7 linked regions of the Sus scrofa genome follow. The protein of the gene in region 5 binds, or shares a complex with, the protein of the main gene of each other region. Links are inferred from orthologs where the notes say so. Each region holds a gene or a part of one and is shown on either strand. Other genes may lie near its edges. The genes, in order: CWC15, CRNKL1, RBMX2, SNRNP40, SRRM1, SNIP1 and SRRM2.

The links.
Region 1: SRRM1 (region 5) and CWC15 share a complex: the UniProt entries of both Homo sapiens proteins name them as parts of the minor spliceosome. The link is inferred for Sus scrofa from reciprocal best matches to the Homo sapiens genes SRRM1 and CWC15.
Region 2: SRRM1 (region 5) and CRNKL1 share a complex: the UniProt entries of both Homo sapiens proteins name them as parts of the minor spliceosome. The link is inferred for Sus scrofa from reciprocal best matches to the Homo sapiens genes SRRM1 and CRNKL1.
Region 3: SRRM1 (region 5) and RBMX2 share a complex: the UniProt entries of both Homo sapiens proteins name them as parts of the minor spliceosome. The link is inferred for Sus scrofa from reciprocal best matches to the Homo sapiens genes SRRM1 and RBMX2.
Region 4: SRRM1 (region 5) and SNRNP40 share a complex: the UniProt entries of both Homo sapiens proteins name them as parts of the minor spliceosome. The link is inferred for Sus scrofa from reciprocal best matches to the Homo sapiens genes SRRM1 and SNRNP40.
Region 6: SRRM1 (region 5) and SNIP1 share a complex: the UniProt entries of both Homo sapiens proteins name them as parts of the minor spliceosome. The link is inferred for Sus scrofa from reciprocal best matches to the Homo sapiens genes SRRM1 and SNIP1.
Region 7: SRRM1 (region 5) and SRRM2 share a complex: the UniProt entries of both Homo sapiens proteins name them as parts of the minor spliceosome. The link is inferred for Sus scrofa from reciprocal best matches to the Homo sapiens genes SRRM1 and SRRM2.

The regions. Positions count from the first base shown.
Region 1 is NC_010451.4:27,037,281-27,040,780, forward strand, and holds part of CWC15 (spliceosome-associated protein CWC15 homolog), read right to left. Parts: intron 2,131-3,500; coding exon 2,012-2,130; intron 1-2,011. UniProt on the Homo sapiens protein: Involved in pre-mRNA splicing as component of the spliceosome. Component of the PRP19-CDC5L complex that forms an integral part of the spliceosome and is required for activating pre-mRNA splicing.
Region 2 is NC_010459.5:28,091,372-28,094,871, forward strand, and holds part of CRNKL1 (crooked neck-like protein 1), read right to left. Parts: intron 1,830-3,500; coding exon 1,638-1,829; intron 506-1,637; coding exon 446-505; intron 1-445. UniProt on the Homo sapiens protein: Involved in pre-mRNA splicing process. As a component of the minor spliceosome, involved in the splicing of U12-type introns in pre-mRNAs.
Region 3 is NC_010461.5:106,879,611-106,883,711, forward strand, and holds the start of RBMX2 (RNA binding motif protein, X-linked 2), read left to right. Parts: upstream 1-1,301; 5' UTR 1,302-1,336; coding exon 1,337-1,341; intron 1,342-1,535; coding exon 1,536-1,651; intron 1,652-4,101. UniProt on the Homo sapiens protein: Involved in pre-mRNA splicing as component of the activated spliceosome. As a component of the minor spliceosome, involved in the splicing of U12-type introns in pre-mRNAs.
Region 4 is NC_010448.4:87,862,624-87,866,123, reverse strand, and holds part of SNRNP40 (U5 small nuclear ribonucleoprotein 40 kDa protein), read left to right. Parts: intron 1-2,282; coding exon 2,283-2,405; intron 2,406-3,500. UniProt on the Homo sapiens protein: Required for pre-mRNA splicing as component of the activated spliceosome. Component of the U5 small nuclear ribonucleoprotein (snRNP) complex and the U4/U6-U5 tri-snRNP complex, building blocks of the spliceosome.
Region 5 is NC_010448.4:82,319,192-82,322,691, reverse strand, and holds part of SRRM1 (serine/arginine repetitive matrix protein 1), read right to left. Parts: intron 3,359-3,500; coding exon 3,164-3,358; intron 2,885-3,163; coding exon 2,765-2,884; intron 710-2,764; coding exon 435-709; intron 1-434. UniProt on the Homo sapiens protein: Part of pre- and post-splicing multiprotein mRNP complexes. As a component of the minor spliceosome, involved in the splicing of U12-type introns in pre-mRNAs. Involved in numerous pre-mRNA processing events.
Region 6 is NC_010448.4:93,609,370-93,613,562, forward strand, and holds the start of SNIP1 (smad nuclear-interacting protein 1), read right to left. Parts: upstream 2,801-4,193; 5' UTR 2,708-2,800; coding exon 2,484-2,707; intron 788-2,483; coding exon 685-787; intron 1-684. UniProt on the Homo sapiens protein: Required for pre-mRNA splicing as component of the spliceosome. As a component of the minor spliceosome, involved in the splicing of U12-type introns in pre-mRNAs. Down-regulates NF-kappa-B signaling by competing with RELA for CREBBP/EP300 binding.
Region 7 is NC_010445.4:39,274,416-39,278,413, reverse strand, and holds the start of SRRM2 (serine/arginine repetitive matrix protein 2), read right to left. Parts: upstream 2,801-3,998; 5' UTR 2,257-2,800; intron 1-2,256. UniProt on the Homo sapiens protein: Required for pre-mRNA splicing as component of the spliceosome. As a component of the minor spliceosome, involved in the splicing of U12-type introns in pre-mRNAs.

The sequences.
Region 1 (3,500 bases), on a different chromosome or scaffold from region 5:
GCAGAGCTAGGTCAAACGTGATCTGCATAGTAAGACGTTTCAATCTCCCAACAGCTCTATCCGCAACCAAACAAGGCATAACAACCATATTGTGTAATACGAGTATCATCAATGTAGTTTTTTGCTCTATCCACTCTCCCCTCAGCTTACTCCCAAAAGGCTTTCCCCCCTTCTCAACACCAAATCGCTCTTCCTCGGCGCTAACTCCCATGGCCACCCCGAAGTACTCACTTTGCTTGCCCTCATCACTAGCTGACCTAGATAATCACTCCCCTCTTCTGGAAACACTTAGTGAGACTCCAAGACACTTACCAACGTCTTTTGGTTCATTTCTTCCTCACTGGCTGCTCCTTCTCAGCCTAGTTTTTTTCATTCATAAGTCACTGAATCAATTATTTATTGAGCACCTGGTACACACCAGGTACTGTTCCAGGTCCTGACAGCTAATCACCTGCCCAACCTTGAAACATCACCCCAGGCTCAGTCCCCCGGCCTCCTCTTAGGCTGTACTCGTTCCCCAAGTGAGCCCATCTAGTCTTTGTGGCTTCAGGAAACGTCTCTAAGTCGACAGCTCCCAAATGCATGACCTGTAGGCCAGGCTAATTTCAGAACTGCGTATCAAGCTACCTACTCAACATTCCCACTCCGACGTGTACACCATCGCAAAGACACCATGTCTTACGCCTGTCCCTCTCCCTCGCCCCTCAGTTTACATTCTCCCCCAAATCTGCCCTTTCAACAGCTCAGGTCAAACACCCTGGAGTCTAGTCTCTGATAAAATGTCACCTTCCCAGCAGCAAATCCTCCCTTGACTACGCAGTTGCCATTGTAAGAAGGACTTCTTTTTTTTAACCATGTATGAGTCCGGAAGCCACTGGATGGCTTAGAAAAGGAGAAAGTTATCTTTTATTTTAAAAGGACCATGATGCTGCTATGTTAAAAAAAAACTTGGGGGTAGGGATGGAGAGGGTGATGAGTATGCATACAGACCAGTTAGGGGGACTGCATCACTGCGAGGGAGACGGCAGCAGTGGAGGTGGTGAAAATTAATAGATATGGTTTAAATGTTAAGCCGACAGGGTTCCTCCATCACCTTGTATCAAACAACCACCAGCTTCCACCGAGCACTTTCTGTACATTTGTTTTACTTCCCTGCACGTGAAGCTCTATACACAGCACTGACTGCCTGTATTTACCCCCCTTCAGCCTTCTACTCTACACATGCATGCGTGCGCGCGCGCACACACGCACGCACACACACACACACACACACACACACACGTGCACATACAGGGAAGAGCTCACCCGCAGGCCTGAGACTGACAGCCTTGGAAGGTTGCCTGCAAGCCTGGCCCTTGGCTGGCATTTGGAAAACTGGATTTCAGGAATCTTCTTACTGTCACGGTGTCTAGACTGTCTGCACAAATAATGTGGTCTATGAACACCTGCTTTCTTCTAGGAGTCTCAATTTTTGTATGTGCTAGGCAGAGGCTGCCTATGTGAGTAGCCACTAAAAACCATAGGTATTGGGTCTCTAATGGGTTTTCCTGGGCAGAAACACCGCATTCAGGTTGCTGCCTATTCACTACCAGGGAAAGGGATGTGGTCTGGGTGACCCTTCGTGGGAGGGACAGTACACGCCTTATCCCGTCATGATCTGGTTCACATGCTGAGTCCTCTGACATCTTCCAGAGAGTCTTTGAATGTAAACAGTGGTCCTGGGGACCCCTGACACACACAACTACAATGGAAGCTTTGCAGGGTCAAGGGCCCAGTGCATTGCTCTGTCTCTAGTACCTAGAACAATCGCTGGTACACAGCTGGTTATTGTAACCATATATGGAAAATAAGTTAATTTTCTTTTATTCTCCTTCCATTATTCCACAATGTGATGGAGAAAATTATCAGCGGAGAGTGGAAACGACAAGCTTTACATAATATAGTTTTCTATAAAATTCATAATTTGTGTGTGTGTGTATATATATATATCCAACCCAGTACTATCTAGTACCTTCTTTTAACTTTGAAGTTGGACTGAGGCTGGGATGGGCCAGTGAGGTTAAGGAGAGGGTTTCCACTCAGAATGTTTTCCATACGAATCCTTTCTTCTTCAGCCTTCTGTTCTTGTTCCTGTCAACAACAGGGGAAAATTCGTATTTATTTATATTAACTCTCGGGTCAATCCTATTATACAGCTCACATTGTAGGATTTTAAGAGGGAGATAAGATAAACATCAAGGTAGCATTACTTTTTGTTTTTAAGACATACCAGAAAAGTCCCACTTACCAAAATAAAATAATTCAGCATTTTCATTACAAATATTTCATGCTTGCCGTCATATATTCATTAGTCTCTCTCTGACTTTGAAATTTTTAAGTTGCGTATTTAAACCCACTGTCTTTCTTGAAGTACATAGAAAACTACAAAATTGTTTATTCTAAGAGAATACATCAATAAACATTCTAATAATTTAAGAACATAGAAGACATCAAAAAACTCATTTAGTAAAGCAATTATCTCAATTTTAATTATCTTAATTTTATTAAAAATAATTCTATTTTGTCTTTTTTTTTTTTTTTTCTTTACTATTTCTTTGGGCTGCTCCCGCGGCATATGGAGGGTCCCAGGCTAGGGGTCGAATCAGAGCTGTAGCCACTGGCCTATGCCAGAGCCACAGCAACGCGGGATCTGAGCCGCGTCTGCAACCTACACCACAGCTCACGGCAACGCCGGATCGTTAACCCACTGAGCAAGGGCAGGGACCGAACCTGCAACCTCATGGTTCCTAGTCGGATTCGTTAACCACTGCACCACGACGGGAACTCCAATAATTCTATTTTGAATTACTGACAATGTAAACCTGTATCTCTAGGACTGGTAACAAGTTATTATTAACCAAGATTTATCTTCTAAAGTAAAACAAACCATTATGTAAAAAATTATATTCAGTTAACATGCATTTATACTAATTTTTCTGAGGTTTATCCATTTTATTCTTGATTTATTATTGCTGACTATTTTTATATCTCTCAAGCATCATCAGTTACATGGTTGTCTTTCTTCACTTTTATTTTAGCACTAACCTCTTTAAACTCAAATTATCCTCAGTTTCTTTCTTAGAATTAGAAAATAAAATGGTTAAAGATACTTCATTTTAACGATCAAGTGTGAACAACAGATTTCATTTTTATAAGGCTCAACTACTGGGAGGTGAGAAGATGCAATTTTCAGAGAAATAAATAGGAAAATCCCTTTTGGTCATTTTCAGATCTTAACCAGACAAAAGCAAGGGGCATCTATGATAGATTAAGAACAGATAACTTTCCAAAAACTATATACTTAATAAATTATATTGATGCTAAAAGTAAAAAGACTTACCTCCGAGAAGGTAGAACTATCAGTGCTCAAGCATACAACATATCCAAATTCATAATATAATAACATATGTGAGGGAATAAGGTCCTGCCGATTTTACATTATTTCCTTTAGAGTTACTGGT
Region 2 (3,500 bases), on a different chromosome or scaffold from region 5:
CAGAACACTCCCCCTCTATTCCAGAGGGCACCTCGGGCAACATCTCTGTCTCTCATGCTGGGAAAGATGGCAGAGACCACATGTCAACCATTTCCACAACACACGTGTTCCTCACGCCTACATGTCCACTGGGGGCCAACAGACCCTTGCTGGCTGTCCGCATGCTCAGTGAGAGCTCCAGGAGTGCACCTCCCTCTCTCACCCGGTCTGTTCGGCTTACCCTCCGCCCCTGCATTTCTACATTATTATCTGTGTCAGTCACTGGTCACCTAACACAGGCTGTCCATTCAACCAGGCTGCAAGCTGTTTTCAGAGGCAAAGAGCATGTCTTGTTCTTCATTATGTTTTTCACAGTGCCTTGCACAGGTATTTCACTGAATGGTTTCACAAGCCACAGAGGCAGGACTCTGATGTGTCTGGAACAGAACACTAAGGGCAAACGTACCTTTTTATGAGGAATGAGTTCCAAAGAGGCTTGGTAAACCTGTCTTGTCCTCTCGGGATCCTGTATCAGGATGAGAAATTTTTACAAAAAGTTCACATCTATTACTAATACTAATTTTACTATTACTGATAAAAATGGTACACCCCAACACTGAATATGCTAAGGTACTTTCAAAACCTTATTCCATTTATGATCAAAAGTGAATTAGGTGTTTCTGTTGTGGTTCAGTGGAAACGAACCTGACTAGCATCCATGAGGACATGGGTTCGATCCCTGGCTTCGATCAGTGGATGATCCCGCGTTGATGTAAGTGGTGGTGTAGGTCGCAGATGTGGCTCGGATCCTGAGTTGCTGTGGCTGTGGTGTAGGCTGGTGGCTACAGCTCTGATTTGACCCCCAGCCTGGGAACCTTCATATGCCGTGGGTGTGGCCCTAAAAAGCACACACACACACACAAAGTAAATTACATTTGGCCACCAAACTTTGATTAAAGAATTACCCATAACATAGTCTTCAAACTCTGAAAGCTTCTCTGTGGAAAGGCTTTTTTGCCTGACAGCAGAAACAAAGATGTGCTATAGCCTCAGATCAAAAACAGAAAATTAATCTTTTCCCATTAACCTATACAAAACAACTTCTGAAAATTCCACTTTTCTTTTTTTTTTCTGGCTGTGCCTGTGGCATGTGAAAGTTCCTGGATCAGAGATCAAACCTGTGCCACAGCCGTGACCCAAGCTGCTTCAGTGACAACACCGAGTTCCTAAGCCACTGTGCCACAAGAGCACTCCCTTGATCTTTACTAAAAGCAAGAACATGCAATCCAGCTGTGATACTATTTATCAGAAAATCCAGGAAACTATATGTAATTAAACTAAGGGGTGGCCCATTGTTCCCTTTCAAGTTCTAAGTAATACTCTTGTTATGCCTCAAGGTTAAGAAAAATACAATGCCAACTTAAAACTCTATACACCTGTGCCCACAATAGGTGTACAGAGTTTAAAACCTGGCAGAGAGAATGATTCATTATTTGGCTGAATGGAGGCTTATGAGAATCTAAAGCAAAACTCCTATTGCAAGGATTCTAAGAGTCTGCTCCCACCACACCTGCTGAGCCGAAGCGCAGGGGGGAGGAGCCTGTCGGCGCAGGGGGAGGAGCCCGTCAGCGCCTGCCCAGGGCCCCGCCGCTTCGCACCTTTGCCTCCAGCTCCTCATACAGGGCGTAGTTGACCCAAAGATAGATGTAGCGCTTCCAGTGCCTCTTCTCCTGGATGGGCGGGACGTTGGCGATGGCACGCTCATACACTTCTCGCACAGTCTCTGCTTCGGCGTCACTCTCCACCAAGCGCAAGTAATCAAACCAAGCGTCGTAGTTGTGCGGGTTAGCCTAGAAAGTTAAGGCCGGTAAATAAAACCGAAGAGCTGTGCCTGCTGGACTATGTGAGATGAAAGGTGGCACCAGACTGACTTCCTATATCTTAGCCACTTTTTTCTAGACTTCACATGCTATTTCATTAAGAAATATCATTCTTCTGTGGCTCTGGTGTAGGCTGGTGGCTACAGCTCTGATTCGACCCCTAGCCTGGGAACCTCCATATGCCACGGGGGCGGCCCTAAAAAGGACAAAAGACCAAAAGAAAAAAAAAAAAATCTATATCTACATATATCATTATTGAGGGGGCAGATCAAGATAGATAGAGGAACAGAAGGACGTGGAGCTCCCCTCCTCCTGCAAATATACCCACATGTGGGACAATTCTCACAGTATACTAACTGGACACGGGCAGATCTCAGATACCCCGGAATGCCAGAAAGATCTCCACGTAATCAGATAGGATGAAAAGGAAAAAAAGAAAAAAGAAGAAGGAAGCCGGACAGGACCTGTGCCCCTGAGAGTGAGCTGTGAAAGAGGAAATGGCCCACATCCTGGGAAGACCCCTCACCCGAGGGGAGATCAGCTGGGACAGAAAGGGAGCTTCAGAGGCTTGGAGGAGAGCGTAGCAGCCAGCTGGTGGGAGGCAGAACAGAGAGACCAGCCCAGAGGATCCCTGCTACCTCGCTGCTGTCTCTACCCCAAGACACGCGCCTCCTATGTGTAGGGGCCAGGTGATGAAAATCGGGCTTCAAAGGACAGATCCAGGGAGAGGACTGAAGCTGGCTGCGTGGAGACAGCCTGAAGAGGCTGGAGTGGGGTATGGACCACAACCCAGGATGTACAGGGAAGCCCAGGCCCCCACAGAAGCTAAGCGCCATTGTTAAGGGGCCCCATGAAGGGAGAGGTAGGCTCACCATAGCTGCCCCTTCCTCAGCATGCACTCAGCCACAGCGGCACCTCTACAAGCTTTGGGAGCACGCAAGTGCCAGTGATTGCCCACACCCAGAAGTGGAGCTGATCCCAGGGGCTGTGCACTAAGAAAGCAGGGCTAAAACCTAAGCCCTCTCCCCGAGGCTGTGCAATCCACGGATTTGTGCCACAGCTGCCAGCTCTGTAAACTCAGCGCCCGTGGGACATCTGAGTGGACAGTCATGCTCCATGGCTAGAGCGGGGCCAGCCTTGGCAGCTGTGTGTGCGTGCATGTGGAGTTGGGCTGGGGTCTGGGCTGCTTGCACGGCTCCCACGGAAGGTCCAAGGGCATGACTACTGTAGTCCCAGTACCTGATTTCAGTGGATCGGCACCTATGGATCTGCACTGGTGGGTTTGTGAACACAACACCTGAAGGGACCCCAGGGCCAATCACCTGTATGCCCACAACTGAGGTGGGTCGAGGGTAGCGCCAAAAGGAGTGTACTTTGTCAGCTTGCACAATGGGTGACAGGCGACACCACACACTCCCCAGTGGACGGCTCCAGCGGAGGGATACTCAGTGGCTCCTCTCCTAGTGGGAGTGCTACAGTCCCACCTACCTCACACCACAGCTCAGAAATGGAGCTGGGGGCTTCTACTTCAACACTTAGGAAGCAGACCCTGCCCTCAACAGGCCTGTGACAACCACAGAGCAAAAAAAGGAGGCCTCCCACTCAATATCCAGCACAGGCTGTGGTCACCACAGCACCAGC
Region 3 (4,101 bases), on a different chromosome or scaffold from region 5:
AATCTGTCACTGTTTAGTTTTCATTGCCAAGGTAATTCTACAAAGTTAATGAATAGCTGGGTTGGAAGTGGGGGAGGGGGACAGACACAAAAACTGTCATTGGTGGGCAGCCTGTTCTGCTTCTTGGGAAGACATTGGGTACATGGTGAACCATTGAGGGTACAGTTGTCACTGTCACCATCATCAAAGTGCTTTTAATTTCTGGGGCTGTGAGCTAGGCCTACACAGAGAACTATACAGCCCCATAATTTGACTTTGACATAATTTGCATGGTCTAAGGCCAGAATTGATGTGGACACATGCAAGATGGATTTGAATCTTCAGAATGGCTTAATTCACACATTACATGCCATCATCTCTTCTACAGGTTCCTGATTATTTCTGGAGTCAAATCTATCAAGCCCTGTCTCCTCAATGATATTATTAGCTCTTTGAAGGCAGAGAACCCAACCTTACATTCCCATCTGCAGACTTACTGTATAGGACAAATACAGATGCTCAGTAAGGACCGATAAATCAAGTGGATCTGATGGATAGAGACAGAGTACCATCCAAGTTATTTAACTCCTTTAAACTCAGTTTCTGCTACGAAACGGGGAGGATAATTGTATCTAAGCCTTCACAGGAGGGCCAATACATGTAAATTGCTTAGCACACAATCTATCATTACCTGCTCAACTGTTAGTTATTAATTTAACAATACCAATTCCTACCTCCTGCTTGAGTAGCAGACAGACTATGGAAAACGGTTAGCAGCATTCACACAAATCTGGGTATTCAATTCAGCCTATGGAGGCACAGTGGTCAGTTGCCTATGCGGTGCGATTTGAGACAAAAAGATTTACCCTCTCACACAGCTTTTTCACATTTCTGCTGTAACTCCTGAACAGGGATGCTTTCATGGCGGTGTGCGTGTGAGTAATTGGCTGGGAGTTAAGGACAGAATGAGGATTTGCACTGGAAGAGAAGGATGGGACTCAAGTCGCCGTTATCAGGCACCTCTCAAAGTCTTCCTTCAAAAAACATTTATAGTTAACCCAATAAATGCCAGGCATCGTTTAGGAGTTCGGAGTCCTGTAACAAACCAGGCTCGCACCCTCGTCCAACTCCAAGCACGGTGGAAGCGAGGGTCTACAGAAAAAGAGCGACATCGGCGGAACAAGAGAAGCCGCTTACTGACGTAGTGCGCAGGCGCCACGCCCCAGCGCGGCCCGGCTCTTCCGGCGCGGCGTAAGCGCGCAGCTGAGACCAATGGGCGCGCAGCGCCGGGTCGCGCATGCGTCTTGCAGCCTCTCCCGGAAGTCGCTTCCTAGGTGCTGAGGGCGAACCCGCGGAGATGAAGTAAGGCCTCAGGTTCCTTTTGGGAAAAGGGGACAGGCGGCCGGGGGTAGTTCACTGAAGCTGGAGTGGTAGAGCACTTGTGAGGCTGAGGAGCGGGGGAGGCGCAGATACTAGAAAATTAGTCTCCCAGTTTTGCTCTCCTTTACCTCAGGCTAGGCCGCGCTTACTTGTCCGCTTTTCCGCCCCTTGTGCAGCCCTTTAACTAAAGTGAAGCTGATCAACGAGCTGAATGAGCGTGAGGTCCAGCTGGGGGTGGCGGAGAAGGTGTCTTGGCACTCCGAGTACAAGGACAGCGCCTGGATCTTCCTAGGTGAGGCCCACATCTTTCTCCCGCAGGGCTTCTCATTCTCTCCTGGCCTGCCTCCTAACATTTCAGCATTCCCGCCCATCATTCCTCCCGACATTCATCACCCACTTTTATTTACTTCCACTGTCGGCCTATAAATCCGTTTTCCAGGTCGCTTTTCTAGCTCATTTCTAGTTTGCTCTCGCTGCCAAATCAGCGTTCATGATAGGTACTGCCTGCCATTCAGTGTGCTAAGAATCGTGCCGTTTGGTTTCTCAGAGACTGTTATTATCATCCTCTTGTCCTCTAGTTATACACCTAAGGAAACTGAGATGCAGAAAAGTTAATGGACTTCCTTCAGGTCGCATAGCTAGCAAGTGGAACAGCAAGAACTGTGGGGTTTGAGAACTCCTGGTATCAGCCACTATCCGGTATTACTGCCAACTCCCTCTCCCTTCATTACCCTTCACGCAGAATTTATTTCCCCGTCCATGGCCACATCATCATTTCCATATTCACTGTGTCACATTCTGTAATTTGACAGTTTATTCGAAGAGATTATTACAACAGACATTGTGCTAGGCACTTTATAGCCATTGTTTTATTTTCATTCTTATTACAATTCTGTGAGGTAAGTGCCAATATCCCCATTTTACAGATGAAGAAGGAAACATTCGTAGGGGAATTTATTTCCTATGAAATCCTTAACAATTGTGAGGTGGGGTTAATATTTTTTTTTTCCCACTGTACAGCAAGGGGATCAGGTTATCCTTACATGTATACATTACAATTACATTTTTCCCCCACCCTTTCTTCTTTTGCAACATGAGTATCTAGACAAAGTTCTCAATGCTATTCAGCAGGATCTCCTTGTAAATCTATTCTAAGTTGTGTCTGATCAGCCCAAGCTCCCGATCCCTCCCACTCCCTCCCCCTCCCATCAGGCAGTCACAAGTCTCTTCTCCAAGTCCATGGTTTTCTTTTCTGAGGAGATGTTCATTTGTGCTGGATATTAGATTCCAGTTATGAGTGATATCATATGGTATTTGTCTTTGTCTTTCTGGCTCATTTCACTCAGTATGAGATTCTCTAGTTCCATCCATGTTGCTGCAAATGGCGTTATGTCGTTCTTTTTTATGGCTGAGTAGTATTCCATTGTATTCCATAGTATTCCACATCTTCCAAATCCAATCATCTGTCGATGGACATTTGGGTTGTTTCCATGTCCTGGCTATTGTGAATAGTGCTGCAATGAACATGTGGGTGCACGTGTCTCTTTTAAGTAGAGTTTTGTCCGGATAGATGCCCAAGAGTGGGATTGCGGGGTCATATGGAAGGTCTGTGTATAGATTTCTAAGGTATCTCCAAACTGTTCTCCATAGTGGCTGTACCAGTTTACATTCCCACCAACAGTGCAGGAGGGTTCCCTTTTCTCCACAGCCCCTCCAGCACTTGTTCTTTGTGGATTTATTAATGATGGCCATTCTGACTGGTGTGAGGTGATATCTCATGGTAGTTTTGATTTGCATTTCTCTTATAATCAGCGATGTTGAGCATTTTTTCATGTGTTTGTTGGCCATCTGGATATCTTTGGAGAAATGTCTATTCAGGTCTTTTGCCCATTTTTCCATTGCTTGATTGGCTTTTTTGCTGTTGGGTTGTATAAGTTGTTTATATATTCTAGAGATTAAGCCCTTGTCGGTTGCATCATTTGAAACTATTTTCTCCCATTCTGAAAGTTGTCTTTTTGTTTTCTTTTGGGTTTCCTTTGCTGTGCAAAAGCTTTTCAGTTTGATTAGTTCCCATTGGTAAATTTTTGCTCTTATTTCTATTGCTTTGGGAGACTGACCTGAGAAAATATTCATGATGTTGATGTCAGAGAGTGTTTTGCCTATGTTTTCTTCTAGGAGTTTGATGGTGTCCTGTCTTACATTTAAGTCTTTCAGCCATTTGGAGTTTATTTTTGTGCATGGTGTGAGGGTGTGTTCTAGTTTCATTGCTTTGCATGCAGCTGTCCAGGTTTCCCAGCAATGCTTGCTGAATAGACTTTCTTTTCCCCATTTTATGTTCTTGCCTCCCTTGTCAAAGATTAATTGACCATAGGTGTCAGGGTTTATTTCCGGGTTCTCTATTCTGTTCCATTGGTCTGTCTGTCTGTTTTGATACCAGTAGCACACTGTTTTGATGACTGTGGCTTTGTAGTATTTCTTGAAGTCTGGGAGAGTTATGCCTCCTGCTTGGTTTTTGTTTCTCCAGGATTGCTTTGGCGATTCTGGGTCTTTTGTTGTTCCATATAAATGTTTGGATTGTTTGTTCTAGTTCTGTGAACAATGTCATGGGTAATTTGATAGGGATTGCATTGAATGTGTAGATTGCTTTGGGTAGTCTGGCCATTTTTACAATATTGATTTTCCCAATCCAGGAACATGGAATATCTTTCCATTTCTTTACATCTTCTTTGATTTCTTTGATTA
Region 4 (3,500 bases), about 5.5 Mb from region 5:
ATGGCAATGCCAGATCCTTAACCCACTGAGCAAGGCCAGGGATCGAACCTGCAACCTCATGGTTCCTAGTTGGATTCATTTCCACTGTGCCACGATGGGAACGCCTAGTGTTAGATGTTTTTTTGCTTTGTTTTGTTTTGGCCCCATGAGCATGTGGAAGTTCCCATGTTAGTTTCTTGATTCTGATGATTGTGTTCAGATTATGTAGGGAAACATCTTTGGAGAACAAATGTAGTAAACGCTGAAGTATTTACAAGCATCAGAACATGAGGGTAGCAATTCTAAAATAATTTAGGCAGAAGAAGAGTTCACTTTTGCAGCTTCTTTGGTAAGTGTGACTATTTCAAAATAAAATAATCTTAAATTATGGTTGTGGAGTTCCCATCATGGCTCATTGGGTTAAGAACCCAACTAGTATCCATGAAGATGCGGGTTTGATCCCTGGCCTTGCTCAGTGGGTTAAGGATCCAGCTTTGCCTAAAGCTGTGGTGTATGTCACAGATGTAGCTTGGATCTGGCATTGCTGTGGCTGTGAATGCAGCCCTAAAAAAGCAAAGCAAAAAAAGAAACAAACAAACAAAAAAAAACGCCTCAAGAGAACCTCTAACTTAAAGTCTTTAAAATAAAAATCCTAATAAATTTAAAATATTAGGATCTGAAATATGACACAAATGAACCTATTTATGAAACAGACTCATAGACATAGCGAACAGGCTTGTGGTTGCCAAAGGGAAGAGTGGAAGGAGGTGGGATGGACTGGGAGTTTGAGGTTAGTAGATGCAAACTATTACATTTAGGATGGATAAGCAATGAGATCCTATGGTATAGGACAGGGAACTATATTCATTCTCTCAGGATAGACCAGGATGGAAGATAATACAAGAAAGGGAATGTGTATATATGAAGGACTGGGTCACTTTGCTGTACAGCAGGAACTGCCACAACAGGAAGTTACCATTGTGGCTCAGCGGTAACGAGCCCAACTAGTAACCATGAGGATGCTGGTTTGATCCCTAGCCTCTCAGTGGGTTAAAGGATCTGGCGTTGCCATGAGTTGATGGTGTAGGTCACAGACACGGCTTGGATCTTATGTGCCTGTGACTTTGGCATAGGCTGGCAGCTGTAGCTCCAATTCAACCCCTAGCCAGAGACCTTCCATATGCCACAGGCCCTAAAAAGCAAAAGAAAGAAAAGGAAGGAAGGAATTGGCACAACATTGTTAATCAACAATACTTTAATTTAAAAAAAAATTTATAAAATGTAAAAATTTTTAATTTTAATTAAAAAGGAAGAAGGAAGGTCCATTCATCTTCCTCAGGTACTTAGGAACCTATACCAGGATTGTAGACTGTTGTCTTCAAAGCTGTTGCTGAGTAGGAATGGAGTGAGTTAAAATACTGCAAAACTCTTCTTACTAGACCCCAGGTGGGTTTTTCCTCATTAAATATTCACTTGGTTGCTGTAAACTCTAGTTTCTAGAGTTTTGATAAAGTTGATTCTGCCAGGTTTTTTGCCAGGTAAGTCTCTGCTCTTGTAGGAACAATTTTTGGGCAATCCCTGCTCTTGCCTTTTTCACTGATGTAGGCTCCTCTGTCTGTCCCCCCGCCCCCATATATATATATATTTTTTTTTCTTTAAATGTAAGTTGCAGCCCACTAATGAATTAATATCTACAGTTTGAAAATACTGAACTAATAATACCCTTTGTATACTAAGAACATATGAACTAATAAACAAGGTAAAGATTTTTACTCCAAGGACATGTTTGTTAACTGTGTTTATTCAAACTTTAAGTTCCCGTCGCGGCTCAGTGGTTAATGAATCTGACTAGGAACCATGAGGTTTTGGGTTCAATCCTTGGGCTTGCTTAGTGGGTTAAGGATGCTGCATTGCCATGAGCTGTGGTGTACGTTGCAGATGCGGCTTGGATCCACATTGTTGTGGCTCTGGCGTAGACCAGTGGCTACAGCTCCAATTAGACCCCTAGCCTGGGAACCTCCATATGCCACGGGTGCAGCCCTAAAACACACACACACAAAAAAAAAAACTTTAACAAAGGAGTCTGAAAATAGAACCAGCGTGATTTGTTCCACCAGCCTTCAGATATGTTGGCAAAATTATAGTCACTTTTCACGATGTTTATAGGATATCCAGACAAGTTTCGGAACAGGGTCCCCATTTCAAATGTTTTCACCTCTGTAAAAGTCCTTGGACTTAAGGGTGTACTATGCAGTTGCTTCTTAGAGTGATGTTACTGTAGATTCTCTTGTCTTCTTTTTCAGCTTTGGGACATCCGTAAGAAAGCAGCCATCCAGACATTTCAGAATACCTACCAGGTGTTAGCTGTGACCTTCAATGACACAAGTGATCAAATTATTTCTGGTGGAATAGACAATGATATCAAGGTATGTTAGATGTTTGTTATGTTTACCTCTCACCTATCTCCACTCACAGAGGTAAATTTTTCCATACTTCTTAGGTTTGCACTTTATACCAACTAAATGGAAGATAATAACTTAGAAGTCGTTTCCTTTCTGTCCTATCCTCATTGACTTCCTAAGTCATGGTTGCATTGCAGCTTGTATAAATGCTGTCAGGAACCAGGCAGTTAACGTGAAATAGGAAGTTCTTATGTGTGAACTTTGAAAGTGAAGAATGCATTCCCTGCCTAAAGGTATTTGAAACTTTTTTTTTTTTTTTTTTGGTCTTTTTGTTATTTCTTGGGCCGCTCCCGCGGCATATGGAGGTTCCCAGGCTAGGGGTCCAATCGGAGCTGGGAACCGAGCCGCGTCTGCAACCTACACCACAGCTCACGGCAACGCCGGATCCTTAACCCACTGAGCAAGGGCAGGGACCAAACCCGCAACCTCATGGTTCCTAGTCAGATTCGTTAACCACTGCGCCATGACGGGAACTCCGGAAACTTTTTTTTTTTTTTTTTTTTAATTTGCATTGGGGAGTTCTGTTGTGGCTCAGCAGTAATGAACCCAACTAGTATGCATGAGGACTCAGGTTCGATCCCTGGCCTCATTCAGTGGGTTAATGATCTGGCATTGCTGTGAGCTGTGGTGTAGGTGACAGACACAGCTTGGATCTGACATTGCTGTGTCTGTAGGTCAGCAGCTACAGCTCTGATTCCATCCCTAGCCATGGAAACTTCCATATGCCCCAGGTTCGGCCCTGAAAAGACAAAAAAAAAACAAAAAACAACAAAAACCCCTGCATTTGTCTCTTGAGATAGCAGTAAATCAATTTGTGATTCTGTACCCTAATCTCTCAGTATGTCTTTCTTTTTGAGACTATAGAAAGGAAGTTTTGAGGGATCCATAGCTAAGAATGTGAGAAGGTAATGATGTTGGAGAAAGAAGGAGGCAGTAGACTATGTGGCAGTATAGTGTAGCTAAAGCTTTCAGGTAATTGACTTGGGGTCTGATCTCAATTCCACCATTTTGCGGTTTTTTGTTAATTCAAGGTAGTTCCTTAACTTCTTTCAGCCTCTG
Region 5 (3,500 bases):
CAGCCCTGGGGAGTACAATGTGGCCAAGAAAGAATTAAAACAAAATATGAAGTCCTCAATTAAGGTATCAAACAAAAAATCTTCTGGGTTAAAAAAAAAAAAAAAAGTTAACTGGTCTCATAATAATAAAATGTTCCCTTACCATGACAACACAAACTTCAGTTAAGTTACCTCAACTCAAACAGCCCACGCCTGGTAATAGCACATCTCTCCACCTACTCAACGCCGAGGGCATGCTAAGAGCAAAACGCTTTACCATGTAGACTCCATTAACAAACCCCAAGAACTTACAGCACGAAAGAAAAGGTGAGCTTCTCAGCAAATTTATAAAAACATCACATACGAATATTACCCAGCTACTTCATACTTTGACAACAATGACGACTAGGTATTTTGTAGCCAAATGAACAAAGAAAGAACATATTGATTTTTACCTTTACCTGAAGTCCTCCCTGGAGAGACAGAAACACGACTCTTCCTTGTACGATTTGACTGCTGGGGTGTTGGGGAATGACGAGTTTTTGGTGGTGGAGTTGCTGGAGGTGAGGGCCTATGCCTTCGCCTTGGAGGACTTGCTGAAGGAGATAGCCTACGAGTTTTTCGAGGGGGGCTGGATGTCCTCTTTGGAGCCTTCTTTGGCGGTGACCGGGAACGAGACGAAGATGATGATGAGCTACTTCCAGACAAGGATGCTGATGAACGCCTTCTTCTGTGGAATAAAGTGCTCATATTCATTAACTGCATACGTACCGAGAACGACCTTACAGGAATGTACAGTTTACACAAAAATACAGCTATTTGTATCCAACTTTTGAGTTTATGTAGCTAAGCACATTAATTTTTTAAAGGGAAACAACACCATAACCTAGGCAGGAAACAGCTAGTTCTGAGACTAACTACAAATAACTTATTCTGATAAATGCTTCTGTTTGATTTTTATTTCCAGCTATAAAATATGTCCAGTGCTACAATATAATAACTAGCCAGTCTCTTCCTTCCTTGGAATAATGAGTGTTTTGGAGTTTGCATATAAAATTTGGATGGCAAAGTATTTTTTCACTCAATAATAAAATGTCAACCTTTAGGCTGCATTTTTAAAAAAAAAGATGTGCAGGATTAGGAATTCATTTAGCTACATAAACTTAGAAGCAGGGGCCTCTCGAATTCTGCGGCAAAATTTGTGGTAAGTTCTGTGCAATTATGTGTACCTGCAGAATTCACCTTTGGCGGAAGAATTCCTGAGAACCTGAAAAAAAGAAACCCTACCTTAAGTGTGAGATAAAAACTGGCTGAAAGGGAATCTTACACAATCTGCAAATTATTTGACTGCTAAATGGCTCAGTAAGCAATTAAAACACACTTTTTGCAAAACTCCAATGTAAGAAATAGCTGTTTCCACTAATCTTCTACTAGAAAGCAGTAGCTCTACTTTTCTAAGGAACAATCATTTTTAGAAAAGTATGACGCCTAAACTGGCTGACCATTTACATCCTTAGTCTTATTTATTTATCAATGGTAACATCAATTCCGTAATTTTTAGCAGTAGTTATAAAAAATGGTTCAATAAACTCGAAAACCAAAAACTCTGTCCTAAGTATAATCTGAAGTATAATTATCAGGTCCTTCCAAAAACAGGTGAAATGTATTGTCAAGAAAGCACAAAACTAGAGTTCTCGCCATGGCACAGTGGGTTAAGAATCTGGCATTGCTGCAACTGCACATAGGTTGCAGCTATGGCTAGGATTCAGTCCCTGGCTCAGGAACTTCCACATGCCTTGGGTGCAGCCATAATTTTTTTTTTTTAATTTAAAAATTAAAAAAAATTTAAAAGGTACAAAGCTCTGCTACCAGTACACCATGCCTCCACTTTGGGCAGATGTAACAATTTTTCTATTACAAGTGATAGATTATGCTAATTTATTCATTTATTGATTTTTCTTTTTAGGGCCACAACTGTAGCACGTGAAAGTTCCTGGGCTAGGGGTCAAATCAGAGCTGCAGCTGCCAGCCTACACCACAGCCACAGCAACACCAGAACCAAGCCACATCTGCGACCTATGCCACAGCTTGCAGTGATGCTGAATCCTTTAACCCACTGAGCGAGGCTAGGAATGGAACCTGCATCCTCATGGATACTAGTTGGGTTCCTAACCACTAAGCCACAACAGCAACTTCCACCTTATGCTAATTTAAAAATGATTTTTAAAAAGGAACACTGGTATTGACAGGGTTACTTTTATGCGGCCTCTTCAAATTGCTAACAATAGTTATATCTATGGAATGGGACTGGGTAACTCTAAGTTCGTTTTACTTGTTTTAACTGTTTATAATAACTGCTCACTACTTCTTAAATATGAAAAAAATCTTTAAGAGTATAAATCAAGTGAATTATTTTAATACTGGTAGAGCAATCAACTGGCTCTGCAGTCATCTATATTTAGAAGCTAATGGTTAAAACCCAAAGAAAGGGTAAGGCAGCCAATTCCCTTACTTGATAGGATTTCTTGGTAGCATCTGAAAAGATCAAGGTTAACACAGATAACAAGTATCAATAAGATAGTGAATTTGTTTTTAATTTTCCAAATCTGGATTAGTGTTGCTTAGCATTGCACAAGTAACAGCACTACAACCTCAAATGAGGATGATCTTTATAAGACATTGCTTAATACCACTCATGACTTCTTTTTTCCCAGGATGACACTAATTCAAAGATTAGCCTAAAACAAATATATGGTCACTTCCAAAACAAAAAACCACCTCTCACCGTCTCACTGGAGATCTACTCCTTCTATGCCTTGGTGGAGGAGGCATTCGTCTCGGTGGAGTTCTTCTTCGAGGAGATGGCCGTCTTCTTGGGCTTGGCCGCCTTCTAGGGGAGTATGATCTACCATAACAAACAGAATTAGAATCTGAATAAATCTTGAGCAAGAACAAACACCTTGACATAGTTTTCTTGACAACTACATCCAAAAAACGGTTTTCAAGGGATATGAGTGTGTAGATTTTTACAGACCATACAAAGTGCCCTCAAATTCTCTCTAAATTCAAAGTTTAACATTTGTGCAAAATTTTTCTACTGCTTTGAAATAATTTACCCAATTCTATCTAGGAGAGTTAGCACATAAAATTTAAGATCTAGGCAGATATTACAGCCATTACCCACCTTGATCGGGATCTATGGCGCCTTCTAGGTCGAGTATGAGAAGGAGAGCGAGAACGTGTCCGGGATCTTGACTTGGAACGTGACCGAGATCTTGGTCTGGTCTTCTCCTTTTCCTTTTCCTTTTTGGAATTCTTCTCTGGAGAAGGTTCTTTAGGCTCTGGTACAGGTTCAGGCTTGGGAACTTTCAGGATGTCACTGTGGGGGGAAAAAAAGCTTACTTTCCCCCTCTTCTCAGAATCCCAAGTCATAATACAATGATACAAAAAGTTTATCTTTCTTTGGTTTTCAAAATTCATGAAGATGTCTAGAAAGATATATACACATCAGTAAAATTCAG
Region 6 (4,193 bases), about 11 Mb from region 5:
TGGGAAAATGGTTAAACCCATACCAGTGAATATCATTCGGCAATAAAAAGAATGAACTACAGAGATGCAATAATCTAAATGCATCTGCAAAGAATTTTGCAGAATGGAAAAAAGCCAATCCCATAAGACTGCATACTGTATGATTTCATTTACATAATATTTGTGAAATGACAAAATTACAAAATGGAAACGAGATGAGAAGCTGCCAGGAATTGAGGGCTAAGGGTGCGAAGGAAATGAATATGACTACAAAAGGACTATATGAGGGATCTTGTGGTGATGGAAAGGTTTTGCATGTTAACTGTATTGATGTCAATATTTTGGTTGTGAATAGATAATCAACAAGGACCTACTGTACACCAGAGGGAACTATCATTAAACTATACTTTAATTAAAAACAAAAACCACTTTTCCCTTAAAAATTTTTTCTGGTTGGAATAGAGTTCTATAATTATGTAAAATGCTTCCAATGGGAGAAACAACCACTTCTGTATTATTTTCTTACAACTGCAGGTGAATCAACAGTTATCTCAAAATAAAAGGTTTAGTTTAACGAAGTAAACAGGCAGACAAAAAAACCCCAAAAAGCCAGTTTCTAGAAAAGCCCACCGCAGGCAGAGGTGAACACACACACAACACTCCAGCTCTGATGGAGCCGGTATGAAAACATCTCAATCCGCTTACCTGCTTCACTTTGACTGTTGAGTGGTGAGGACTTCGGCTTCTCCTACTCCGGGGAGACTTGCTTCTTCTCCCCGAGGACTTATTTTTCTTTCTCGGTGGGGACCTGTTCAGAGAATGGTACACATAAATTTCATCTCAATTTTCATTCGCTCATACAAATTAGCTTCAAGTATCAGGCCTATCTACTAACACAAACATCACATTTGTGAAGGCTTCTGCTGATCACACTAAAGGAGTCAGGAGCTTCACTTTTTCAGCCCTGAATGTCTCCCACATATGTAGCTGCCAATTGAAACTTCTCACTTCGATAAGAGAAGGCTAAATTCCCACCTCTCAACTTTCCTATCTTTGCCATCAGGGTAACTGATACCACTATCCATCCGTTCCTCAGGCCAAAAACCTAGAAGTCATCCTAGATTCTTTTTTTTTCTCCCCCTTACCACCAAGAGGCCCCATGCTCCTCCCCAACACGCTCACAATCAATCAGCAAGTCCTCTGGCTCCAGGCTCTACCTCTTCTCTCTCCCACCGCATTCCTACCCACCTCACTATACCGGATCCCCTCCCCTCCTCCTTTTCTAGAAGGAACACAATTAATTCCACTTCAGGATCTTTGCACTGCTTGTTTTCTCTGATTAGATCTTTACAAGCCTGGATTATTTTTATCAATCAGGTTTCAGGTCAAGTGGCAGACTTTTCACAGAGAACCACTTCTCTCCACTCTCTATGACATTACTGTCTTAACCTATCCCTAGTACTTGTTACTAACAAATTATTTTCTTTATTTCCTTGTTATTCTGTCTCAGGGCTAGAGCATCTCAGTTTCACCAGGGTAGAGATCATCTATCATGCTCATTCTTTCCACCCCAATACCCAGGACGGCCTGCCTGCCTGCCTCATATTTTCTTTTCTTTTTCTTTCTTTCTTCCTTTTTTTTTTTTTTTTTTTTTTTGTCTTTTTAGGGCCACACCCTTAGCATATGGAAGTTCCCAGGCTAGGGGTCAAATCAGAGCCACAGCTGCTGGCCTACGCCACAGCCATAGCAACACAGGATCAGAGCCGCATCTTCGACCTACAATGCAGCTTATGGCAACGCTGGATCCTGAACCCACTGATCGAGGCCAGGGATGAATTCTACATCCTCATAGTCCTCAAGAATACTAGTCCAGTTCGTTACTGCTGAGGTACAATGGGAACTCCCATTATTTTCTTTATTTCAGTTTTATCTGTGTATAATTTTACAGTTTGATTCAAATTCCACATATACATTTATATTTTAAAAAATTGTACATAGCTATTTTCCACATTATTTTATAACCTATGAGGTCTTTAGCACATAATAAGTACTCGACAAAACTATGTCGAATGAATGAATAAATTGTTCGCAAAAGACAATTTCCCCCCAGAATATCAGACAGATCACCTAGGCTCAGGATATGAAAACTTCTTGGGGCAGATAACTGAAAAAATAACCCCATTTGGAGGCAGGTGGGAAAAATCTTTCATTTCAACATAAACTATCATTGTCATCAGCTGGACCATACTCGGAGAAATGCTGAGCACACAGAGATGAAGGAGCAAGAACTTGCCCATCAGGCATTAGGCGTTTAACGCCCAGGTATAACGCAAGTAACAGGTATCAGAGTAAACGTTAACACACTCACAACCGGTCACTTCTATCGCCTTAGGATTAATTCAAGCTGCCGCGCTCAGCATTCAAGGTGTGCTCCTGGTGCCAGCCCTGTCCCCCTTTCTCAAAAAGCCCGACCTCAGGTCTACCCCAGGCTGCTTCCCACTTACCGGCTACCTCCTCGAGCTCGGTTCCCGCGGTGACCGGGGCGGCCTGACTCGCCGGCCAGCGGGGAAGGGCTACCGCCGGAGGAGTCCGGACGGCGATGGACAGGAGGCGCGGATTCCGGGCTGAGGCGCTCCTGCTTCACCACCACCGTCGCCGCCGCCACCATGTCCCCGTCCCGGTGCCTTCGCCGACTTCCCCGCTCCCGCTCGCTCTTCACCTCCTTCATGCTGTGAAACGGCTGAGCCAAGGAAAAACAGGACCGTCGCGCTCCTCTCCGTGAAGGAAATGACGGACTTGAGTCCTGGACTTCCGCTTCCGGGTGCGCGCTCTCCCAGAAACCCTCGCGGCGGATAACGCGATCAGAATCCCGAGTGGGCGGGGCCTTAGGGACCCGACTCTGTGGGGCGGGAGTTTTAGGTTTCAAAAACAAATTGGGGGGAAAAAGCTCCTCTCAAGGTTGTTTGTTGACGCGTTATTACTAGTTACTAAACATGGGGACAAACTACACATCCAGCAGTAGAAAAGAGATTATGTCACCATTTGCAATGGTATTTACAAACTATACGACAAATGGAAAAAAGTCTGACTTGTTAAATGGAAGAAGCAAGATGCAAAATTGTGCGCAGACTGTGATGACATTTACGTTTGGAAATACGAAGGAAAGGGGAAGAGAAGGAAATGCAATCACAGATCGTAGCCCGGGCAAATCGTCGGCCGGGCAAATCGTCGCCATTTCTCCATTAAAGGCAAACTCTTTTTAAAACCTGGGAACTTTAAATGCCTTCCTCTGGGAATCTTCCTCAGCCTTCACTGAGGAGTCAAATGATTCCATTTGCGGGTGACAAAATCCAGGATCAGCGAAAGTGATCTGCGCCTTACTCAAACCGTGAGCTGGACGCAGCGAAGGGATCCAGAACTCAAGTTTCCCCTGCTTCCAAGAGTGCTAAGGCGATCCCGGTGAGCAGGAGGCTTGACAAGCTAAACGCAGGAGAACTTTCCTCGAAGGTTGAGCAGAAAGAAACTCTCGAGCTGCTGGCCCCGCCCCGCCTCGAAGCCCCGCCCAGGCCATGAGGATGTCAAGGACGTTTCCATGGCGACGGCAAACACTGCCCTGACAGGAGGGTCGCTGCTGTGCTGCTACCCTCGCCGCCGCCATGATCCCCCCCGCCGACTCTCTGCTCAAGTATGATACCCCGGTATTGGTGAGCCGCAACACGGAGAAACGGAGTCCCAAAGTAAGGAGGAGTCTCAGGATGGGGGAGCTCGGAAACTCCCACGGGGAATGACAGATCCCTGCCTTGAGGATTGGGAGTCCCAAGGGACAGAGGGTGCAGTGACTGGGAATAAAGGGAATTAGGACCAGGCAAGGAGGGTGGGAGAGCGGTACAAGAAGCCCAGATGTTGGGTGATCCTAAGGGCAGATTTAGGATGGGAAAAAAAGTCACAGAGAGATGGATGGGGCTCCCTGCCCTATCCAGGTAGTGTACAAGGATAGATCTGATAGTGACTGGCCCCATCTCTAAAGGTAAGAAAGTAAAGGCCTGAGCAACATCTGCACAAGGAGATAGAAGCATTGAGTTGGGGTGGGACCAGAGATTCTTCATGGCCTCCTTCAGCTCTGAAACATAACTTCTAATGAGGAAGAGTGATCTGAGAATGGGGGAGAGGTATGCGAGTGACCCGGTGAAAGCCTGCCAAAGTGTGTGGAGCTG
Region 7 (3,998 bases), on a different chromosome or scaffold from region 5:
CTGTTTGCAGCTCGTTCTTTTCCCACCCCAAAGATACTATTTATCCCAAATTTCTCCACACTGTCCTTTTATTCTCCCTTGGCCCAACTAACTCCTAACCCCTGGCAACTGAGGCCTCCAAACTGGGCACAACAAACACCAAAGAAAGATCTGTGGCACCCAAGGGCCTGCATTCCAAGTTTAAAGACTGTTCTAAGAATTGACCTAAAGATTTCATGCTACCCTGAAAGTACCCTGAAATTATGAATACAAATCGACTAAATAGCCCCTAAGTATTCAAACAAGTGGCCCAGACTAAAGGCCAGCACGAACATCCGAAACACATGAACCTTGATTTGTATATAACCCTCACACCTCACCTCCCAGACAAGGGGCCGCTTCCTATTAACTATCCCAACTGACGTGGATTCCTTCCCAACAGGCTTTCTCGTGTGGTGTGTGGCTCCCAAGTCTCACCAGTTCCTGATAAATATTAATTTTCAACTCAATTCTCTGAACACATCAAACTAGCCTGCCCTGTTTCAACTGTCCCCTTCTCTACATTCCTTCCCCTACCCTTACTCAGAAAACTCCCACTCTTCGTACCTCACATTCGTTACATCAGCTTTCCCTAAGAGTCCCAGGACCTCACTTCCTGGCTTCCTCCTCCAGCCCTCCTCGCCCTCTCACTCATCATCCTGCACCTGCCACCAGAACTTCTACCCTCTCAACCTGTCCCAACCCGGGTGTGGCTCTGAAGAGCCCTCAAACCCTAGTTTTTCTGATTAAATTTCTTGGCTAAATATACTCTATTCCTTTCTCCTGCTATATATTTTTTTTCTCCAACTCATCCTGTCAAAGGTAGTTTTCACAGGGGAAATGTGTGAGGGAAACAACCCCAGGAACGAACCCAAGGAACAAAGGGAGAAAGTAGTGAAAGCAGAGGGGAAAAAAAATATATATAACTGGATAAAAGGGAAGGCTTCATTTTAGAAACCCCCAGAAGGAACATCTGGATGAAGGTACTAAAAGCCCTCCCCACACCTAAGTGGAGAGAGATGTTGACTGAAATGGCAATGGCCCAACTCTAACAATTTGGAGCCCCTTAACCCTCAACTCTAAGGTTGGGACTCTGTTCAATCCCAATTGCAGACTCTGGAGGGAAAAAAAAAAAAAAATCCCTACTGGGGTAAAGGAGTGACACATAAAGCTAAATCTACGAAAAGTCAGTGGAACTATATGAAAATAAATGAAAACCTTTATAGCATATGAAATCCTTCAACCTCCATTTTTATCTTTTTTTTTGTTATTTTTCTCCGCCCCACTCTAAACCTAAGTCCTCTTTGGCTTTCTATACCCTACTTGGTTTCTGCTTCCCTTGCAGAACGCTTCTGATCTGCAATTAATTCTTCAACTCAACCATTCACCCACACTTCCATACCTCCTCACACAATAATCCTCCCACTCCCTGGAGAAGGAAAACCAGTAGATGATAAGCGTGCACTTTAAAATCTATTAAGTCACAACAGATGGGAACGCTTATAGGGAATGAGCCAATAACGAAGCCACAAACACACCATTCAAGACGGCGCTCAAAACATTTTAAGAACGAATAGACAAAAAAGTGTATCAACAACACACACAGATCATCAAAACCACATAAGGATTCTTAAACTGGGGTTCGCAGTCTGTGCATATGCAAAAAATCATCACCCAAGCATGCGGCAAAAAAGCAAAAGCAAGCTGCAAAGAAAGACGAAAGGGAGGTTTTTTTACTGTTGGAAAATCATCACAGTACCAAACTAACTAAGCAGAAAGGAGTTTCAAAATCCAATAATACGGTATTTAAGAAGAGAAATGCACCAAAAGGGGTGGGGAGTGTGCAGAAAAATGGACCTGAGTAACAGCGCAATAAGCTCAGTACAGGAGCAGTGTGGTAGCTGAGTGGACACTAGGCAGCCCAGAAAACGAAAATACTCGCTCAGGAAGAAATCCAAACTCACACACTCAGGAGAAGAAAAAAAACACAAAACACTTTCTCAATTTTTCGACCCAAAATATATCTTAAAGAGGCGTCTGAGAGGAAACCAAAAACTAGAAGACTTGGGCGCCAAATGAAGACAAAGTCCAGCGTTTCCTGAGGCTGGCAGCCTCTTCCCTAACTTTAACATAACTTTTTGGTAAATAACAAAACACGGGGAAAGAGGAAAGAAAGAGAAGGAGCGAAAGAAACAAAAGAAAAACTGAGAAAGCAGTACATGGCCTGCCTCTACGTACCTAGACTGAAGGACTTTTTTCCTAAACGTTTCCCTTTTTTAACGCTTCAAGACAGAGAGTAACGCATCCGAACTGTCTTAAATCTCTTGGGCGTTTAAGTTCAAGGCCTTCTCTGCACTGGCTGAGCCACCAGGGCCTATTTTCGGCCTTGAGGGAGAGGGAGGGGGCTGAGCGGCGCCCCGTAGTCTGGGAGGCTCAAGGCCGGACCACAAGCCTCCGGGAGGGACGGGTTGACCAAACCGAGAGGCTCAGGGGTGAGGAGCCGGGAGCGCCCCCCCCCGGCGCGCCGCCGCCGCCCCCTCCCCGCCGAGAAAATGTCGGCAAGGACAGCTGCAGGAGGGCCTCCCGGCCGCACGCGCTGGGGAGCCGGGAAGCCGAGTCGCGCGCTCCCCCCTCCTCGCCGAGAACGCGCGCGAGGCCGAGGGCAGTCGGCGGCGCGCGCCGTTACCATGGGGGAGGGGAGGAGGAATAAAGACCCGCGCGCGGTAAGAACCCCGAGGAGGGGGAAGGGAAGGCAGGCAAGCGAGAACGTCCGCACGAGCTAGGGGTGGCCAGCGCGCGTGCGCGCGGCGGCCTGAGCCGTTCTCCGCGCGCTTTGGCCTAGCGCCGGGGCCGCCGCCCCTCCCCCACCCGGCTCGCGCGCTCCCTCACCCGCCGCCGCCGCCTCCGCCCGCCGCTTCCGAGGGGGAGAGCTGTTGCCGCCGCCGCCGCTCGAGGTCCTGAGTCCCTCGGCGCCTGGAGTCGCCGCCTTGCCTCCCCGGTCCGCCCGTCTCAGCCGACACAGACGCCTCCTCGCTTCCTCAGGGGCCGCAGCGGGCTCCGACTGCGCCACTCGCACCCCGCCTGGGCCGCGCTGCACGTCAGCACGACGGACTAAGAACGTCAGCACGCTACCGCGCGCGTCGCAGGGCACGCCGGGAGCCGTAGTACTCTCCACGGCCTTGTGCGCAGGCGCCGAGACTGCACCGGGAAGTGTAGTTAATTAAGGCCCGAGGGAAGGGCAACTCCGTTGTCGAAGAACTATGATTCCCGTCGGCCCGTTGCCGACGCGGTCGGAGGAGCGGACCGAGAATGCAAGCAACGCATTCTCGACAGTTTCCGCTGGGAGGCGGAAGACATAGGGCCTATCGCCACATAGCCAGCGCGAGGGCTCTCCTTGACCTCCCGACTTCGTCCCAGGGTATCCTGGGAGTTGTAGTTCTAGGAGGACGCGGAACCCTTAAGTAGCTTCGCCTTCCCCTCACGCGGCCATTTTGTCTCCCCATGTTGGGAGGCGATGGTCCCAAGCCCAGGGACCCTGCGGCTCCCAGGTGATTGCCGTCCCCTGTCCTTCCGCACCCGGGAGACCTCTACCACCCCGCCCAGACCCCGGCCAGCGGACATCCCGGGAACCCCAGAGCCCAGCGTCTGGCTCAGGGCTTGAGCCTTAGGCCCGGCCAGTAGGCGGTCTTGTTCGCAGCTTCTGCCCGCCGCAGACAGTGTTGAACCGGGCGGCTGCACCCCGGGGATGATTTTTTGTTACCATCCCCCGCCTGTAAGGGGGCGATGAGCTTTTTCTCTTAGGGAACCTGAGATGTATCATATACGTGTTAGGGCGAAAACGTTACCGACGCCCTGAAGTTTTCCACCCCTCTGCAGAGTGCCTGAGTCCAGTTTTTTCCAGTGGGAGAGCAGCCAGTCTCCCTCAGAACAGAGGTGGAAGAAGCGAGGCTTCCCAGGCAGGCCACAGTTTCAGCTGGAGT